Lepisosteus oculatus: one gene and its partner. The protein of the gene in region 2 interacts with the protein of the main gene of each other region in a biochemical or structural test. Links are inferred from orthologs where the notes say so. Each region holds a gene or a part of one and is shown on either strand. Other genes may lie near its edges.

Region 1 (9,340 bases), on a different chromosome or scaffold from region 2:
CACATCACATATAATCTGGGCACATTTCTCTAGTCAAACACATGGCATACAAGACAACGACAGTAACTGAGTACTGACTTGAAGTTCTTTTGATTTGGATTGCAATGATTTGATGATGGAAACAAGGCTGAAAGGCACACGTTTCACCTAGGGCAGAGGAAGAAAATATTGTGTAACACCTTTGTTTACATCCTTTAGTTGCCCAGAAGAGTTTCACCTGTGACAGAGGCATTTCACCACAGAGCACTTCTGTCGCACATGAACTCAGACCTCAGCTGAGAATTAGATGTGAATGAAATCTGAAAGATGGCACCTCCAGCTGCCCAGTGTCTTTCCTACCCCTTCTGGTGTATTGGTTTGGAAATTGTGGTCTAGAGAGAACAGCACTTCCTACTGGTCCACTAACACCTCTTATAGCAGCAGCATGTTTTTTAGAAGTCTGACATTGCAGCGCTGACCAGGCCCAGCCTTGCTTGCCATCTGGGATCTCATAAAGTCAGGCCAAAAGAGCAGCTGCACTTGTTTCTCTGCACTCCTTGTAAAACACTCTCGCCTCCTCCACTCTCCCAGCTTTTGTTCTCCTATGCTATTTAATCTTTGCTGTCTGCCCTGTCTTTCTCACACACTGAAGAAGGCTTCACAGCCGAAACGTTATGTTTTCTTTCTTCTCTTTTCAGTGTGGAATACACCAATTACTTGCTCTTTTGCAGCCTACGCATGCTGATGCATCTACCTACTCAAACTACCAAATGAGCAAGATGGGTTGATTGGATTCCTCCCTCAACTCTTCTTGTTGTTTTTCACCCAAATAGTGCAATACAATTGAAATTTTTGTTCGGCTTAAGAAAATAAAGTGTAAAATAGAATAAATCCACACTTATGGTAGGATAATCAAAATAATTAGGTGTGGTAAGTGTGCTAACATAATTTCAGAAAATTGAATTATAGCCAAGTTAGAATAGAAATTCAAGCTAAAATACTAATCTCCCATTTCTTCACGTCTGTGTGTGACTGAGGATTCCCGTAGCACAATTTTTTTTATAACCCCCACAACCTATCCCATCTACACCCCTGCAGCAACAATTCCTTGGCTCAATCCTCACAATACCGAGGGAGGTGGTCTGGGCAGCCACATTCTTTGGTAAGGAAGAAATTTTTCTTCCACCAGTCGAGCTACGCCAAATACACTCTGAGAATCTAGTCTCTCTCGTCTTTATTAGGATCTAGCCGAATAACTGAAATGGCATTGTTTCAGTTCAAATACGCCTATATAAACAGCATTTCAAATGTGTGCGTGTGTGCAGGACCAGCTTTGCCCATTTGAAACTTCGATTCAGCTTTTACCATGACTCGGAATCCCTTAAAATCATGGGAGTCTTCCATCGGCTAAAAGAAAGAAAGCTCTATCATGCAAAATCTCATCTTTCAGAACTACAGTAGGCTCGAAGTTTGTGCTCGGTGAGCGGGTTGTCACTTCATGAATGTTCAACCGAGCTCAAGTCATGAAGTGCAAATGATTTAGCCAAAGCATAAACTATCTACTGCATCAGTGTAGGATTTCATACTTCAAAAGGGAAAAGAAAGATTTATCAGTTCTCACATTTTTTTTACTTTTATTAAACATTCTCATTACATTTTATGTAAACAATTGACTTTTTTAAGAGCACTGTTACAAATGTGTAAAAAAACTGCCAATCAGGTTGCAGTCGATGTTTTGCGAGGAGTCTAGGTCAGCGGTTGTGACAGGCGCAGGTCAGAGCTGCCACGAGGATGACAAACTCGTTGAAGTCCACCTCTGAGTCTCCGTTGTGATCCAGGGCCTTCATCAGCTTGTCAGCCTCATCCTGGTTCTTGGCAGCCTGCAATCAGATAGGAGATCAATGTTTTTGTGTAATCATTTATTCACATTTTTTGTGTCTAAATTCTAAATTCAGATTGCATTTCCATTCCATCATGTAAATCATGTTGTTTATAATTCTCATCTGCTTAAGTACTGGAAAAGGAAATTATACAGTGTTGTCAGTTGGAAGACTCTTTTACTGATACTGATTAAGAACTGTAGTTTAAGGACGAATCTGTCAGGACTTCAGAAACACAATGGAACTGGAAAATATGTGACAAATTTTTACTAATACTAGGCCCTTTGTATTAAATTCTCAATATATTTTCTAGTCACCTGACAAAATCTAAAACAGAATGTATCCAGCTCTTGTATCAAATAATTTTGCTGATAGGCTCTTAAAAGGGGTATTTGCAATATAAAAATCCAGGATTAAGAACTATTATATTGAATAATAAAAAAACCCAAAGGAAAGTTTAAATGTCTGGTCTCTGAGTGAAGAGATCTCATGTATTTGAAAAAAAAAGCGTATTTAGAGATATTTAGAAGTTGTCTGTAAGATAAAACAGTTCATTGAAAATGTGCTGTATGTAACATCACCTTACAAAATTGATATCAACATAAACTGATTGATGACCCAACATAAACATTTATATTATTGTTGGAAGAATCAAAGAAAAGAGTGTCACAGGAAGCACTTGACTTACAAAATTAACCCTTTGCTCAGGGATTTCCAAGGAATACAAAAATAATACTAAGTGATCGAAGCTGTGGAGGCAACACTGTTCACCATGAAGACCAGGAGAAATTAACTCATCACTCACACACCTTCAGAAATGCTGGAAGCTCCTTCTCCATCATTGTCTTCAGCTCAGCCTTGGTCAGAGTCTGCTTCTTGCCATCAGTACTGGCATACTTGTCAAACACTTGCATTATCATCGCCATGGCATTCTCCAGCTGAGACATGGTGACTAGCTTCTTCTGCTACAAACTGTGGGACTCCTGCACCTCAGAAGTATGACTTAGTAGTGAACGTACAGAATGAAGCAAAGAGGACTTATATACACGCAGTATATGGGTTTCTACAGCCAATTGCTATTTGTTGTATCAGTCACTTTTTATCTGGGAGCAAATAGTATGTATTAGCCACCAGAGGGCTGTGGCCTGATAATATTAGAAGTGAAAATAATAGGAATAATAGGAAAATAATAACTGTGTCAACAGCTGTTTATCTCTCTCCTTTCAGAATTTTATTTCCTCCCACGTAAGATAAATATGTAACTAGGCAACCAAAGCTATAGTATAGCAATAGTATTTACAGTTTTTTTATACTTCTATTTGTACTTTTTAGGTGACCGCTTATTGGCAGGCCTACTTGACAATGGAGACACATATCGTATAAATCCATGTGCTTTTTCTTTTCTCAAGCTTGCAATGTGCAAAGAAAGGTCTAATGGTCACATGTGATTAGGTATATGGTACATTCAAGTCAAGCACACCTATGTGATCAATACCTGGTGTGTCCACCATAAGCTGGCAAGATATTTTAGCAAAATAGGCAAAATCATTTTGTAAAGAGTATAGGTATATTCACCATCCATTCTCAGGTCAAGGGATTATTTATCTTTGGCTTTCATTGCTCAAAGATACACTGAGACAACAGCCATATCACCCTGCAGCTCTCAACTGGCTATTCACTGAAGATAAGCGGGATTGAGCCTGGTCAGCACCTGGATAGGAGACCTCCTGGTAAGCTATGGTTGCTGCTGGATGTGGTATCAGTGGGACCAGTGGGGGGTGCCTGTCCCGTGGTCTGTGTGGGTCCTAATGCCCTGGTATAGTGCTGGGGACACTATACTGTAGTGGACGCTGTCTTTCAAATGAGACGTTAGACCGAGGTTCTGACCCTCAGTGGTCATTAAAGATCCCCGGGTTTTTTTTATAAGAGTAGGGAGTTATCCCATTGTCCGGGCCAAATTTCCCCCCTCTGCCTTTACTGTGGCATCCAAATTGTCCCCATTGATTGGCTTTGATTGTCCCCATTGATAGGTATGATTGGCTTGCACTTTTCCTGCGATGGACTGGCACCCCGTCCAGGGTGTACCCTGCCTTGTGCTCATTGCTTGCTGTGTAGGCACGACACCATATGTTATAAAGCAGTTTGGCAAATGACATGACATATGCACTGCTAACTGTATCAGAGCAGTGGAATACAGGTTTAAAATCAATGTGAGTGGTTGTCTATCAACAACACAAAATCACAGAATGACACTGAAAGTTAAGAAAAATTACACTGTATTGACAGGAAAGAATGGTCAAAAGTGGCTCCTCATGTCTTTGTACTACTAAACCCATGGTTTCCTAATTTGGGCCAGATGAGACACAAAAACATTGGGCTTTACTAATATCTAACGAACTGGAATGCATTGCAGACAAAGGATATTACCATTGCAAGAGTTCCTGTACTGTAGATACCAACAGCTCTTAGTTGTCTGAAGATCTGGGTTTGTAGTTTTACTGACTAGGTTGATTTTGCATACTTTTTTCAGCTGGAAATACCTCCAGAATCTGTTGATACAGTAGTAGATGGACAATGACAGTAATGTGCCATCATAATGCAGTTCCTATTTTTTTGTACTGAAACATCAAATCTGTCACTAACTGACCATGACCAAGAATTGTCAAGTAGTAGTTCTCAGTTTGCTTAGTAACTTAAGGAGCAGGACTATGATGGTTGGGAAAAGCTCTTTTAAGAACATAAAAAATATTACAGGAGGAGGCTATATGGAGTGGAGGCTACATGGCCCACCAAACTCTGTGGTAGTTAATTGATCCAAGTATCTCATCCGGCTGTTTCTTGGATATTGGCTTCAAAAACATAGCTGGGTAGCTTGTTCCATACTGTCACAATCCTCTATGTAAATAAATGTCTCCTGTTCTGTTTTAAATGCACTTCCACGTAGTTTTATTGCATTTGGACTATATAAAATACACTTGAACTACACTAAGAGGTCAAATCAAGTTATTGTTTCGGTTAGGGCTTCAGCCAGTTAAATCATGTTCTTGGTTAACATAAAAATAAACTCCTAGGAGTTCTTGCACAACTTCTGTGCATACCATTGTATGCATAAACACATGGTGGAGCGGTGGCGCTGTGGCTTAGGATCTGTACCTGTGGGTGAAAGGTTGCTGGTTCAAATCCTGTGGTTGGCAGAGGAATCCTCCTCTACTGGGCCCCTCAGCAAGGCCCTTAATCCCAACTGCTCCAAGGGTGCTGTGTAAATGGCTGACCCTGTGCTCTGACCCCAACCTTCTCTCTCCCTGTTTGTGTGTCTCATGGAGGGCAAGCTGGGATATGCAATAAGACAAATTCCTAAAGCAAGAAATTGTATATGGCAAATAAATATAGATCTTATTTAATAAATGTAGTGCTTCTGTGGTTTCTGAGGTGTCAGAATAGGTCACTCTTACACGTCCCTATATTTGTAAATTTGTGTGAAACAGACATCAGAAGCACTGTCTAGCAAATGGCACTAATACAGTTTTTGAGCTTTATATGGCCACAGGCCTCTCCATCAGATGGATGGAGAAGGACTAATCTCTTCATTAGTCTATCAGGCTGATATGATACCTTATCTGATATTTCAGATTGTTTTTCTGTGAATGGTAACTGAAATCTCTCGTAGTCCTTTCAAAAAGTAACTGAGAACGTTTGTTATTTTCAATGACTCAGCAACTCAATCTAAGGATTCACCTACTTATTCACATGAGGATATTCACTATTGGATCATTTTATTAATAGTCCAGATATAATTTTTTTTGGTGTGTTTTATGTTTAATCAAGTTATCTTAATATTTTCTTAAGGCTTTGACTAAAATCTAGTTATGTTTTCAACCTAAAAAGTCGAAGAATATGGGTCCCGCCTAGAGAGTTAACAGACTTTTTCTTTGTACTGTAGCTTGTCTCATACTCTTACAATGTTTTGTGTAAACTAGGGCTCCCATTTTTTTCACAGTCCGAAAACATACTGATAGGTTGATTGGCTTCTGGAAAAAATGGCTCTGGTATGAGTGTGTCTGTGTTTGTGTCAGTGTGTACCCTGCAGGGTGGATCTCTATTTCAATTTAGAAAATTGATGACGTTTTTCACCCTAAAACTTTTTAAACTCTAAAACCCACTCTTCATCTCCATTGCTTTCACAGTGGTGGAATTCACGATAGTGGTTTCTCAAAAACTTCCCTCTTTAACCCTTTAGTTCCCATTGAGTCAATGGCTACTATAATGTGAGTTTTCCATAACTGGATTCTTCGGGAATGCAGAACTGATAACAATATATAAGGCACTAACCTGTTTTATTTTTATGTTGCGTTGCCTCTAAATGCAGGATAAGAATGATTATTTATGTTTGTGTTTAGATAGTTTAATGGTTGGTTGCATCATTTTGTCTATGACTGTACAGTAAGTATATATAAAATATGTTAAAAAATAGTATTTCAAAGATATGATGTCATATCTGGATTTTAATTTGAACAGATTTCTTTACATAAAAGACAAAACAATAAGAACTGAAAGAAAGTCAAGAGAATTATCTTTTTTAAAGACAAAGATAAATTTCCTGTCTTGATGACACTTTCTTGCTATCAAACTTTTCACCTATTTCCTGTTGTTTCTCATAAACTTCAGTTTGTTCAACAGTTTCATAATCACATTTAAGTTAAGAATAACTGTAAACCAAAACTGTTAACAATATTTTATTTCAGAAAATAAGTGGGTTTTGACCAATAAAACAAACCTAATTCTCCAGGAGTTTTCTGTGTAACATTTTATTTTTAAAAGCAAAATATTGTTACCGTATGAGAAAAGTTTGAAAGTCACAATGCTCGCTGTTAAAAAAATGAATATGGTTGTTTGATCAAATTAGTTCATATACAATACTTTGTAGAACTTTAAAAAGTATATTAACACTCAAAATAAAATAATTATATAAATTTGTATATAAATACAAAATTACAGTTTCTCCAAATTCTGGCAGATGTTTAGACTAAAAGAGACTAAAAGAGCCTGAAGTTGTCTGAGAGTCACACCTTGTGATTCATTGTTTCATTGAACTATGAACTAAGTGCAAAGTAGAGGCATTTGCTATTATGCTCTTGTTTGATTAAACATTAATGTGCATTTGTACTGATATCTTGAGCTCTGCCAGCCCTAAGTACACTGCGTAAGAGTCCATGTGGGATCATTAGCTGTAGGTGTGTTCAGTTAGTTCATGGTATACTTTCGACCTTTGCCCACATTTGAGTGATTCATCCAGCATCACATCCACATAAAGAGACTCAGAAGGGTGTTTTTGTGGGCTCAAACCTCGGTTGGGACTCTGCTGTTGTATTCCGAAGCAATCTCCTTCACTCAGATTGTCTATTTTTTTCTTAAGACTACCGCTCACTCCAAAAGAGCATAGAAGAAGATGAATGTTTGAAATTACAAAGCACACAATTAATGTGACTGACACTTTACCCAAGGAAAGCAGAATATTAATTTTTGTGAAACAATTCTTGTTAGATTCAGATCGGCTGTAAGACATGGTGTTCTGTAAGTAGTAAGTAGTAAGTGTAAGTTGTTGTCCACATTTTGTCCATATAATGAAATTAAATCTTTCTTTCTTGCTCTAGAAGCATTCTAAATTGACTGTCAAAAAGTAATAAAGCAACAAAAGTGAAAGCCACATCCTCAACAGAAAGTCATTATAATGATTGCTTTTAAAATGTCACACCATATTTCCATTTCCTGTTGCTGACCTATAAGAGACTTTCTAAGTTTCCACAGCTCACCCAATTCTTTGGGGTGGATTTTTACCCTAGAAGCGAGAAACAGATTATTACAGCAATGAATGAGAATAAAACACAACATTGTGAGCAAAAAGAGAAAACGTGAAAAGGCTTGAAGTCTCATATGGTTGTCATATGCTAATATACATGACTATTAATATGCACTATAAGGTGTGAACAAAAACACTTGCACAAAAGAAGAGAAAGTTGTTTTCCGAGGGCAAACTCCTGTGTTCATTTATTTATTCAGCACATTAAGTCAGTGATTTTCCTTTCCGTAACAGAAGCTTTTCCCAGCATAATGTTATTGAACCACTCACCATTCTTCCTATTTCTTTGAACTGTCACTTTACTGTTATCAGTAGCATGTGATACCTGCATGGTCATTCCTTCCGAAGGACTTCAAGATGAACGGCTTTATTTGGTGGTTCTCCAATTAAAGTACTTCTTGTGAAACGAACATTCCAACAGTTTTCAGACTGGATATTGGATTAGTTTCTTTTTAACTGCTACTACGGTGGCTTCAGTACATAGTAATTGTTTTCATTTTTTTTACTTTTTGTTTTGCTTCTTTCACGGCTTTCCAGTGTGAACTGTTACAACTATCAGTCTCCACTGCTGTCACTGCTGTGGTGATATGTGTTTGTTAAGAAAGCTTGCACTCAAATCAGCTTACTTACCGTATATTGTAGATCTACTACTTTCTCACACCTCCATATGGTTCAGTGCCCACAGTTTCCATTGAGATCCCCTTCGCCTCAAACTTAATAATGATATATAATTGATATTAATGCAATTATTGCATAAGTATGAGAAAAATTATGAAATAGTTTCACAGTAGTATAGATGTTGTGAAAGCAACATCATGAAACTGCTACTGTTACTGTACATAACCAACCAGAAAATATTATAGTTTCAAAAGATCACTGTCAGTTTTTGGTGTCTGTGATTTAAGACCCACAAGAGGAAAGACATGATAAGTAAATAATTTTGTTATTCACCAAAAATGTATGAACACATTTTAACTGGCCTTTCTGAGGGGAGGAAGCACTTTCATGGTTTTATTTTGTGTTCTGAGAAGTTACGCAACCACCACAATGCGGAACGCTTTTTCAAAGTGAAGTGTTTTTTAAAATAAGCAAGATATACAAAACTTATGGTAGAATAGCCCCTGCACATATGCATTATTTTGCATGAACAATTATGCAAAACTAGCTTATTTTATAGTTTCCTGTTAAATGAAGATTCGATATTGAGCTTTGCACTGGCCACTCGCCTTAAAAGGTATGAAAATAGTATTCAAAGAACTTGAAAATCAGTATGCTTTCTGCGAAGTGTTTGGCATTGTGGAAAAAAAATGCTAAAAGCAAAATTGTTTTATTTTTTAATAGCAAAATTTCTATACATTTGAAAAACACAACTGGATTTACAATGTAGGGAAAATATTGAAAGTAGTTACTTTGCAGTCTTTTAAAAATATTAAATTAGACTGTGCTCTTCAAAACAGAAGAAGAAGCTACTCTTTCTTTTTCAGACATGGATAGCAATGTCACACCAGAAATGCTTGTGATGCATATATTTCAAATAAGCTGTGGTACAAACTCAGTGGTACAAAATCTGCACCATTTTCTGAAATATAGTTCAAGCTCACCTTTTTTATTTTTGTTCTAAACA
Region 2 (10,567 bases):
TGAGAGAGAGAGGGGTTAATACACACACTCCTCCTGAACACTACTGTACACTGACACTGCACTGAGAGAGAGAGAGGGGTTAATACACACACTCCTCCTGAACACTACTGTGCACTGAGAGAGAGAGGGGTTAATACACACACTCCTCCTGCACACTACTGTACACTGACACTGCACTGAGAGAGAAAGGGGTTAATACACACACTCCTCCTGCACACTACTGTACACTGACACTGCACTGAGAGAGAGAGAGGGGTTAATACACACACTCCTCCTGCACACTACTGTACACTGACACTGCACTGAGAGAGAGAGAGAGGGGTTAATACACACACTCCTCCTGCACACTACTGTACACTGACACTGCACTGAGAGAGAGAGGGGTTAATACACACACTCCTCCTGCACACTACTGTACACTGACACTGCACTGAGAGAGAGGGGTTAATACACACACTCCTCCTGCACACTACTGTACACTGACACTGCACTGAGAGAGAGAGAGGGGTTAATACACACACTCCTCCTGCAGTAAGAGGTGTCAGTCCTCTCCTGACTCTGTTTCCTCTCAGGGTAGATATAGCTCTTCCCTCTCTGTTGTTGTTGTGTAATTAACATTCCTTTCTAATGAGAGGGAATGTTCTCATTGATCCCTGGTGGCATTTCATTCTCTTTCACTGCTTCTAACACAATATTCTGCCAACGCAGGCGGCTGTAAGAGCAGAGACACACCTTCCCTGCACTTCGAGCTGAATCCTCTCTCTCTGCCCAGGTGTGCGCTGTTCTGCTCCAGAGGAGGGCAGATGGCTGAGGAATGTGAAGCTGCCAGAGTAACTTTACACCCCTTCCGCTGAGACAAAAGAGCGGCCCGCCCCTCCCCCTCTCGAGCAGGGCGCCGCTCTGTTACCATATAAGGAAGAAAAGAGAGTCCTGCCAGCGAGCTGCCGCGCTGCTGCTCTGCTGGGGAGTGTGGCGCGGGGCTGTGAGTCGTGTACCTGTCAGCCTCGCGTCAGGCAGGAAGGGACTCGGGGCCCAGACCGCGCAGGACTGGGAGGTACAATAGTGTGCAGGAGGAGTGCTCTGGCAGGGCCCGAGCGCCGCACAGGGACTCCGCTCAGACATGAAACAGTTCAGACATGAAACCTTTGCCCTGACAAGGTACAGGCTGGGGGAGGGGTGTGCCCCCCCCTTTCCCCTGCATTCCTGAGCATTGTGAGTCAACACCCCCCTCCCTCTTCCTGTCCTGCAGCCGGGGAGAGGGGAGAGGGTGACCGCAGAGCTCTGCATCTGCACTGGACTGGTATCTGTCTCCTCGGGGATAATTCTCAGTCTGCTTGATCATGGGGAGATTTATCCCTGCACATACTCTGACTTTATAAGCTCTGCATCTGTAATCATATTGAAAACTGATGTGTAAATAAGGCAGCAAGCGACAGGAGCCCAATCAGCCATCTTTCTTCTTTAGTACTTTAGTCATGTATATAAGTGTCCAGAGTTTGGGTCTCAACCACATAGCTAGTAAGCCTGTCTCAGACACCCACAACTCTTTGTGTTAAGAAGTGTTTTTTGTTATCCAGCTTAAATAACATCTCCAGTTTCTGTATGGGCTGTTGTGGGCTGAAGAGACAGAGCTCCTGTACCCTGTCTGTACAGGACAATCCCTCACAACAGGATCCCCATCCGTCATCTTCATCACACCAGTGAGCACTCAGACCTGCAAGGTGCCCCTCTCTCAGACCCGAGAGTATCATCATGACTTGCTGTCCCAGTCCTGTCACAGAGGGCAATCGCAGCCTGTAGGAGCATCAGGCTCAGCAGGTTGGTCCGTCCCATCGAGTGGCTGATGAGAGGAAGTTTCCTCAGTGTTTCAGTCTTTCATATAAGAAATATCACATATCACAAATATTCTCCTGCTGAATGAGCTTTTGCACAGGTCCTGTTCACTCTAGTGGGCTTCTGTGCTTCCATTCCCTCAGCCTGGCACCAGCGAGAGAGCAAGGAAGTGAGAGAGGAAGACAGGGCTAAGAAAGACAGGAGCAGAGAGAGAGACAGGGGCAGAGAGAGACAGGAGCAGAGAGAAAGACAGGAGCAGGGAGAGAGACGAGCAGGGAGAGAGAAAAGTGGCAGAGAGAGAGACGGGTAGAGAGAGAGACAGGGGCAGAGAGAGAGACAGGATCAGGGAGAGAGACAGGGGAAGAGAGAGAGACGGGCAGGGAGAGAGACAGGGGCAGAGAGAGACAAGTGCAACGGGTGATGGGCCGAATTAGGCCAGTACCCACTATTGATAAACATACAGAAAACAGTATTAAAGTATTGGCTACACCTAAAAAACAGCGACCAAAATTCCTACCACCACAAAGCCACCACAACCCAGACCCAAGCACATCACAGCACAGATCAAACAGCAATATCTCACACACTGGGACACACACACAGCATAAACTGGAATGCTACAGAACCCTAAACAGACAATACACACTAGCTGAATATATGACCAACATAAGAAACAACAAAAAGAAACAGACCCTGACGAAGTACAGGCTCAGTGACCACAGCCTGGCCATAGAAACTGGGCGACACAGGCAGACCTGGCTGCCCAGAGAGGACAGGCTCAGTGACCACAGCCTGGCCAGAGACACTGGACACAGACAGACCTGTCTGCCCAGAGAGGACAGGCTGTGCTCCCACTGCCAGCGGGGAGAAATAGAGACAGAGGTGCACTTCCTACTGCACTGTGACAGATACTCTGGGATTAGAGACACATTCTTCCCGAAATTCAGAAATCTCATCCCAGAGTTCCCACACCTGCCAGAATCACAATGGGTCCCAATCCTACTGGGAGAGGGAGGAGGGAACTCAGTTGATCTGGCAGCCCAGTATGTGATCTCCTGTCACAGCCTGAGGAACAGTGAGTCTGTCTCCCAATAATGCTCCATCTGTCTACAGTAGATGTAAATATTTTATGATATGTGTTTGTTGTAAATGTTTGTAATGTCTGTAGACTTTATTTTACTTTTATTTTCTGTTTTGTTTCATGTGAATTTTTATTTGCTTTAGCAACACTGATTGTACCCATCGGTCACACTAATAAAGCACCTTGAATTGAAAAAAAATTGAATTGAAATTGACAGGAGCAGAAAGAGAGACGGGCAGGGAGAGAGAAAAGTGGCAGAGAGAGAGACAAGGCAGAGAGAGAGACGGGCAGGGAGAGAGACAAGGGGCAGAGAGAGAGACGGGGCAGAGAGAGAGATGGGGCAGGGAGAGAGATGGGGCAGGGAGAGAGAGATGGGCAGGGAAGGAGACAAGGGGCAGAGAGAAATGGGCAGAGGGAGACAGAAGCAGAGAGAGAGACAGGGCAGAGACAAGGACGGACAGAGAAAGACAGAGAGAGAGACAGGGAAAGAGAGAAAGACAGAAGCAGAGAGAGGAAGACAGGGACAGAGAGAGATGAGCACAGAATATGATACCTTTTCTAACAACATTGCCTCATCTGTCTCTCAAATCCAAATAGTTTTATTGACATTAAAGGTTAATCACAGTTAATAGCAATTAGTTAATAACAGTTAGTAACAATTTTTACAACAAAAACACATTATTAGACTTTTCCATCCATCCATTTTCTAATCGTTATATCCAGCGCAGGTTTGCGGGGGGCCGAGTGAGGCACGCTGTGGGCGCAAGGTAGGACACCAGTCCATCACGGGGCACACAGACACCCCAGGGCACATTTCCCAGAAGACAATCAACCCTCCAGTATGTCTTTAGATTGTGAGAGAGGAGGAAACCGGAGCACCCAGAGGAAACTCGCAAACACAGGGAGAACATACAAACTCCATGCCGACAGCACCCCAGGAATTTCCAACATGAACTATTAGAGTCTCACTGTCTGTTCCTCAGGCTGGGACAGGAGATCACACACTGTATTATTATTATTGAGAGACAGGCTCACTGTCTGTTCCTCAGGCTGGGACAGGAGATCACACACTGTATTATTATTATTGAGAGACAGGCTCACTGTCTATTCCTCAGGCTGGGACAGGAGATCACACACTGTATTATTATTGAGAGACAGGCTCACTGTCTGTTCCTCAGACATATTCCAGATTTACAACAAAGACATATCATCAAATATTTACATATACTGTTAACAAATGGAGCATTATTGGGAGACAGGCTCACTGTTCCTCAGGCTGTGACAGGATATCACATACTGGGCTGCCAGTTCAATTGAGTTCCCTCCTCCCTCTTCCAGTAGGATTGGGACCCATTGTGATTCTGGCAGGTGTGGAAACTCTGGGACTAGATTTCTGAGTTTAGGGAAGAATGTTTCTCTAATTCCAGAGTATCTGTCACAGTGCAGTAGGAAGTGCACCTCTGTCTCTATTTCTCCCCGCTGGCAGTGGGAGCACAGCCTGTCCTCTCTGGGCAGACAGGTCTGCCTGTGTCGCCCAGTTTCTATGGCCAGGTTGTGGTCACTGAGCCTGTACTTCATCAGGGTCTGTTTCTTTTTGTTGTTTCTTATCTTGGTCAAATATTCAGCTAGTGTGTATTGTCTGTTTAGGGTTCTGTAGCATTCCAGTTTGTTGTTTGTGTGTGTGTGTCCCAGTGTGTGAGATGTTGCTGTTTGATCTGTGCTGTGATGTGCTTGGGTCTGAGTTGTGGTGCTCTAGCAGTGCCGTCCTGAGACTGGCTGGTGTCGGTGTGGCTCAGGACCAGCTGGCTCAGGGGGCTCTGTTTTGGGCTCAGCTCTTGGCTCAGCAGGGCTTTGTGGTGGTAGGAATTTTGGTCGCTGTTTTTTAGGTGTAGCCAATACACTCTCTCACTCTCTCAGATACACTCTCTGTCTCAGTCACACACTGTCTCAGACACATGCTCACTCTCTCACTCTCACAGACATGCTCAGTTTGTGTTGAGCAGCTGTTAATTTAGAAACACCAATCAACGCTGAACACCATGAATTTGGATACATTTTGAGCTGGCCAGCTATCTGTGTGGAGTTTGCATGTTCTTCTCCATGTGCAGGTTTGCTCCAAGTGTCCAGAGTCAGCTTGGGTAAGAGGGGTGCCAGTCTGTGTGTCCCCAATCGCCCATACTGGCATGTACTGTGGCACTGGCCCCTGGGCTGGCCTCAGCCTGTTCCAGAGCCTGCTGAGGTCAGAGCCAGAGCAAAGGGCTGGCTCTCGCGGGGCACCAGGCCTGACTCACCGGCCTCAGACAGCAGAAGGACACAGGTACCAGCGCAGGGGAGGCACCTGCTGAAACAGCCATCTATCCCGGCGCAGGAGAAGATTCACAGCTCAACTCTCCCAGCAGTCTCTGGAGCTCTGCAGAGGGGGGGATACCCACTGCAACAGACAACCCAGCCAAATAATTACAGACCAGTATGTCTGCCTTCTGTGGCATATAAAGTAATGGAAACAATAATCAGAAGACAACCAGGGGATCATCAGTATTAAAAAGAACATCCTAGTCAATGTGGATTTTAAAAAGACAGATCTCTTTAACTACCGTGTACCTTGATCAGCAGGAAACAGAGCGAGCGCCACTGGGCATTCAGATCTTCAGAAGGCTACTGACAATGTTGCTGCCAACAGATGTACTGTCAGGTGTGTCCGGTCGTGACCACGAGGAGGACCTTCCTCTGTCGGAGTGTTGTTAAATGGGACATGATTAGAAATGCGATCAACGCAGATACGGAGGCGGCCAGCTTCTCTAACATTTTAGCGCTCACGGGACTCGAGGGTGACTAATTACTGTGGAAGCAGGCAGGAAAGGTGTCTGCAGGGAGATGTTTGATGCCGCTGGCAGTCATACTTATATGGTAATAAACTTATCCCGCACATACCTCTCTAATTAAACACTTAGCGCTGCCTCCGAGCCCCGGGAGCAGCACCCTCAAGCCACGCCCCCATGCCGCTCCGCCACTGGCCGGTCCGGCCCAGATTGGCCTGCTCCGATTGGGCGGGGGGCGTGGCTGGGAGCCTGGCCCCGCCCCGCAGCCGCGCCCTGCCCGGTCCCAGCCAGTCTGCGCGGAAGCAGCCGCTCAGGCCGAGAGGAGACAAGCGCTCGCTGCTACTGCGCGTTTCCACCGAGCTGCACGACAACTGCTTTCTCGCCGCCGAGCTGGGACAGCGGGACGGGGAGCCGACCGAGTTCAGAAGGGTTTCAGACGATTCTCTGTTCGTCGTTGGCCCAGGTAAAGTGCCCTCTGTCAGCCTCAGCCGGACCAGGAACTTCGTGCTCTTGCGCTTCGTCACCGGCGGCTGAGCGGGCGTGGGGCGCTGCCGTGCTCGGGCTCCTACAGGAAGTGCGCCGGGAGGGAGCCGGGGTCCAACTCGTACGGGTCGCGCACGCCGGGTTAGTGGAGTCCTGCGGCTGCTGGGCTTGGGGGTGTTTCCGGGGTCGCGGTGGGTCTGTTTCCCGGGCTGCCGGCTGCTCCGACGGTCTCCGGGGCGGGAGGGACGGAGAGACACGGGCCCCCGAGCTGTCAGGGTCAGGACCGGGTCACTCGGGCCGGGAGCGGGCTTGTCTGGTCTCTTTCTGCTCACGCCCTGCAGAAACGCGCGTGTTTTAGGACCTGCACCCTCACCGCCAGCTCAGGTGAAACAGCGACACGCCGCCGCAGTGCGGCTCCAGTCCGGGTTTTCCTGGCGCCCGGGCTGAGCGGGTGACACTCGTGCCGTGGGGTGTGGAGACCTGGGAGCAGCAGCCGCACCCTCACCTCTCCGGGATGATCTCATCCACCGAGGAAGTGGCGCTGGCCACGGCGCGAGCCGCGACTGGGAGGGCTGGTGGGCGAGCTCGCGGCCGGTCCACGGCACGCCGTGGCGGTTCCCAGCCCGGTCTGATTCGGGTCCGGGGTCCTGCCTCCGAAGGAAATTTCTTATCGCGAGCCCGGGAGGCTCATTTCCGGCCGGTCTCGCCTGAGCCTAATCTTTCCACGGGCGTGGGGGGGAATCGCGTGGAACAATTAGGGGGACGGGTCGACCGGGACCGGCGGTGTCTGGAGTCTGAGGTCGGGGTCAGGGGTTCAGATACAACCGTTTTGTCACAGAATATTTATGGGTCCTGGTTTCACCCTGTGCTGGGTGCTGGAGACATCCTGCGGTTCTTGGCACTGTAGTGTTTGGACTGGGCCTCCCCAGAACTGCCCTGCCTGACGTCTCTGCGTGGTCTCGGGCTGTGGGAGTCTGTTAGTGTACCTGGCCTCTGGCAACGATGTCACTTCCTCCCTGTGCTCTGAGTGTGATGTCACTTCCTGTCTCTGTGCTGGAGCTCTCAGGCACCTGGGCGGATGTGGACACGCGTCCGACAACAGGAAGTTGAGGTGCGATGCTGCACCAAGCAGCCAAAAGTGTTCTGTCTCACCAGGCTTGCAGACGGCCCAGGGGGGAGAGAGGGGTTTGGGTTGAGGGGGTTTGGGGAGACATTGAGGGGGGCAGTGAGGGTGAGAGGGACAGTGAGGGGTTTGGGGTGAGGAGGGGTGTTTATAGCGAGGGTGTTGTCAGGCTCGGGTGAGGGTCACTGTGGGGGTGAATCTGTTCTGCGGAGCAGTGGCAGGAGAGGGGTTGCAGGTTTTCTCACCAGTGTCTCTGTGACTGAGGCGCATGTGCACAGTGCCCCTGGTGGCGCCCCCTGCGGGTCAAGGAGGGGGTTACAGTAGGTGAGCACGGTCTCATCTGTGCTGGGCAGATGGGCTCCCAGACACCTGGAGTCCATCTCGGCTTTTCTCAGCAGCTGAGAGCTCCTGAGTCCGTTCTGGTGGAGCAGAAAAGCAGCCGTTTCTGTTCCTGAACCGCGGTTCCTTCAGGTGCCTGTTCGAGGGCCTGCGGCGGGTGGTAAAACCCGGGGTGGATCTGGATCTGGCTGCAGGGACACTGCAGTCACGTCCTGTGAAACTGTGGCTGAGCAGCGCTGGCGGTGCCACCAGACAGCCAGGTGACCTGGGTCTACCGATCCAAGGGAGGAGAAGAGCCGGCAGCGGGCGGAGGAGTGTGGCTCTTCCGTACCCCAGTAGCGGTCCTGCTGTGCGACGCTCGGGGCCAAGCCCCGGGTGTGTGTGCGTGCTCTGCTGTGTGTGGAATTGGGCAGCTGTGTCGCAGTCTTGGTTGTGGCCTGTGTGTGCTGGAGGGGAGGTATTCGTGGTGGCTCTGACCCTGGCGCTGGGCAGTCTGAGGCAGGGGGGGTGCCCTTAGCACAGAGCTCTCGTGTCTCTCCTCGTACACTGGCCTGCCTGCCGCCGTCTCTCTGTCCTGGAGACCCGGTCAGTGTCCGGAACGGGACAGAGGACAAGAGCGCAGGTGCAGTTCTGCCCTGGACTGTGTGGGTGTGGCCGATAACGAGATTGCAGGAGCTGCTGGCTCCCTGTGCTGACTTGTCCTCGAGCTCGGCAGACATTCCTGCTCTGTGCACTCCGTCAGGAATGAGCTGCTCTTCTCGTTGCCTGGGGACCCGCTGACTGCTCACTTCCTGTTGGGAAGTTTTCCCTGTATCCTTATCTGTATCCCTTATCTCCCTGTGTGGCTGTGGGCTATCGAGGGGCGGAGACGCTGGTGGCCAGCAGTCCTGATGATTTGTCTGCTGAGCAGGGTACTGGCAGTGTCAGCGGTTCTGCTGCAGGACAGCCCAGTGGCAGCAATTATGTACCTCTTAGTTCACTGGCTGACTGGTCAGCAGAAGCTCTTCCTGGAGTGTCCAATGGGGGGCGCTCACAGGCTGTATCCTTCCTCCAGTGCTGCTGCTGCTGTCTCAGTGTCCTCTGAATGAATGCAAATGAGGCTCCAGCCACATAGTGTGAGGGCCGGTGTTTTAATGGTGTTGAGCAGCTGCTTGCTCAGCAGTGGGCCCAGTGGGGTGTGTTGTCAGCCTGGGCTGTGCCCTGTGATCCCAGAACCGGTGCTCGATCAGCAGCAGCCTGTGCCTGTGTGAAGAAGAGAGCTCTGAGGGTGTATCCGCCTGTGAGCAAGGGAGTGTGTCACACAGCAGAGAGAATGAGCCAGGTCTGCTGTGACTTTCAGCTGCAGGGCTCACGGTCTGGCCTGATGCTGGTCTCTGCCTGTGCTGACAGCAGCTGCATTTCTGGAATTCTCTCCTTATCCATTAGCGAGTGGAATGGTAGGAATGTGTCCCAGAGGACAGGGGAAACAGAAGGCAGCCCGGGTCGGTGCAGAAGGGCCTGGATTGGATCAGGGCCTCTCTGCTGCCCTGCGGTGTGGGTACTGTTCTCAGGGTGGAGGTGTGATGAGCACTGTGTTCAGGGTAGAGGTGTGTACTTTGGGGAGCACTGAGTTTAGGGTAGGGGTGTGTGTACTTTGGGGAGTGCTGTGTTCAGGGTGGGCGTGGGAAGCACTGACTTCTTCAGCTGTGGGGTCACAGGGGTCATGGGAAACTGGAAAGGGAGAAGAGCTCTCATCTCCAGACTCGGTGAGCTCTGTTGCAGTGACCAGTGAGTAAGTACTGCTAATCAACAACATAAATCCTGTTAGTTATTTCCATCCATATCTGAAAAAAACATCCGAGACTGGCTCTCTGCTCCTTAGGCTGTGGCAGGAGATTGCATACTGGGCACAGGGTGTGGTCCTGCAGTCCTCCAGTTTGTGTCTCTCTCCCAGTGGGGGAGGCAGTGCTGGTCAGTGTGTGTTGTTTGTGTGCGTGTGTCCCAGTGGGAGAGGCAGTGCTGGTCAGTGTGTGTGTGTTTGTGTGCGTGTGTCCCAGTGGGAGAGGCAGTGCTGGTCAGTGTGTGTGTGTTTGTGTGTGTGTGTCCCAGTGGGGGAGGCAGTGCTGTGTGTGTTGTGCTGTGTGGTGGGTGTTGCTGTAGCTGGTTGCTGTCAGTGAGCTTCAGGACCAGCTGGCTGAGGGCTCTTCTCTGGGCTCAGCTCTGGCTCAGCAGGGTCTTGTGATGCTGGGAGCTCTGCTCACTGGTTCTCAGGGGTGACCAGTATTTTCTTGCAGTCTTCTGTATGTTGGTCAGCAGTGGGTATCTGCCTATTCAGCCCAGGATTTGTTTCTGTCTCTATCCTTATTCTGGTAGAGCAACTGCCCTGTCCTTATCTGCAGGAATCAGAGTAGTTAATAGGCAGAGCAGCAATTTATCCCTCCACACGCACATGCACAGACATGCGCAAAGACACGCACACACCCTTTCCTGTTGTTCAGCACTCCTGACAGACGGCGGGGGGAGGGAAAAAGGCTGAATCTTTGTATTTAGCAACAGTGTGACCTGGTGTGGTCTTTGTACAGATTAGATCTCTCTCTTCTTGCCTCTGGGTTTATTGGTCTCTCTTTCCTGAGCCTATAAAATTCTTTAAGTTCATCCTGAGCCTGTTTCTTTCAGATTTTTTAAATTCAAGCAGGTTTATTGGCATGACTGATGAATTTCAGTGTTGCCAAAGCAGATACAATTAACACAACATCTACAGATGTTGACAATACAAACACATCTCGGGACACTTACATACAACATATAGAACATTACACACTATATTATTATTATTGAGAGACAGACTCACTGTTCCTCAGGCTGGGACAGGAGATCACACACTGTATTATTTTTATTGAGAGACAGGCT

The links. The genes of interacting proteins can lie anywhere in the genome.
Region 1: the proteins of myh9a (region 2) and protein S100-P interact in a biophysical measurement, tested with the Homo sapiens proteins (2 studies listed by IntAct). The link is inferred for Lepisosteus oculatus from reciprocal best matches to the Homo sapiens genes MYH9 and S100P.

What each region holds. Positions count from the first base shown.
Region 1 is NC_090696.1:42,548,003-42,557,342, forward strand, and holds protein S100-P, read right to left. Parts: upstream 2,848-9,340; 5' UTR 2,807-2,847; coding exon 2,669-2,806; intron 1,860-2,668; coding exon 1,731-1,859; 3' UTR 1,607-1,730; downstream 1-1,606.
Region 2 is NC_090707.1:39,742,187-39,752,753, reverse strand, and holds the start of myh9a (myosin-9), read left to right. Parts: upstream 1-6,106; 5' UTR 6,107-6,196; intron 6,197-10,567. UniProt on the Homo sapiens protein: Cellular myosin that appears to play a role in cytokinesis, cell shape, and specialized functions such as secretion and capping. Required for cortical actin clearance prior to oocyte exocytosis. Promotes cell motility in conjunction with S100A4.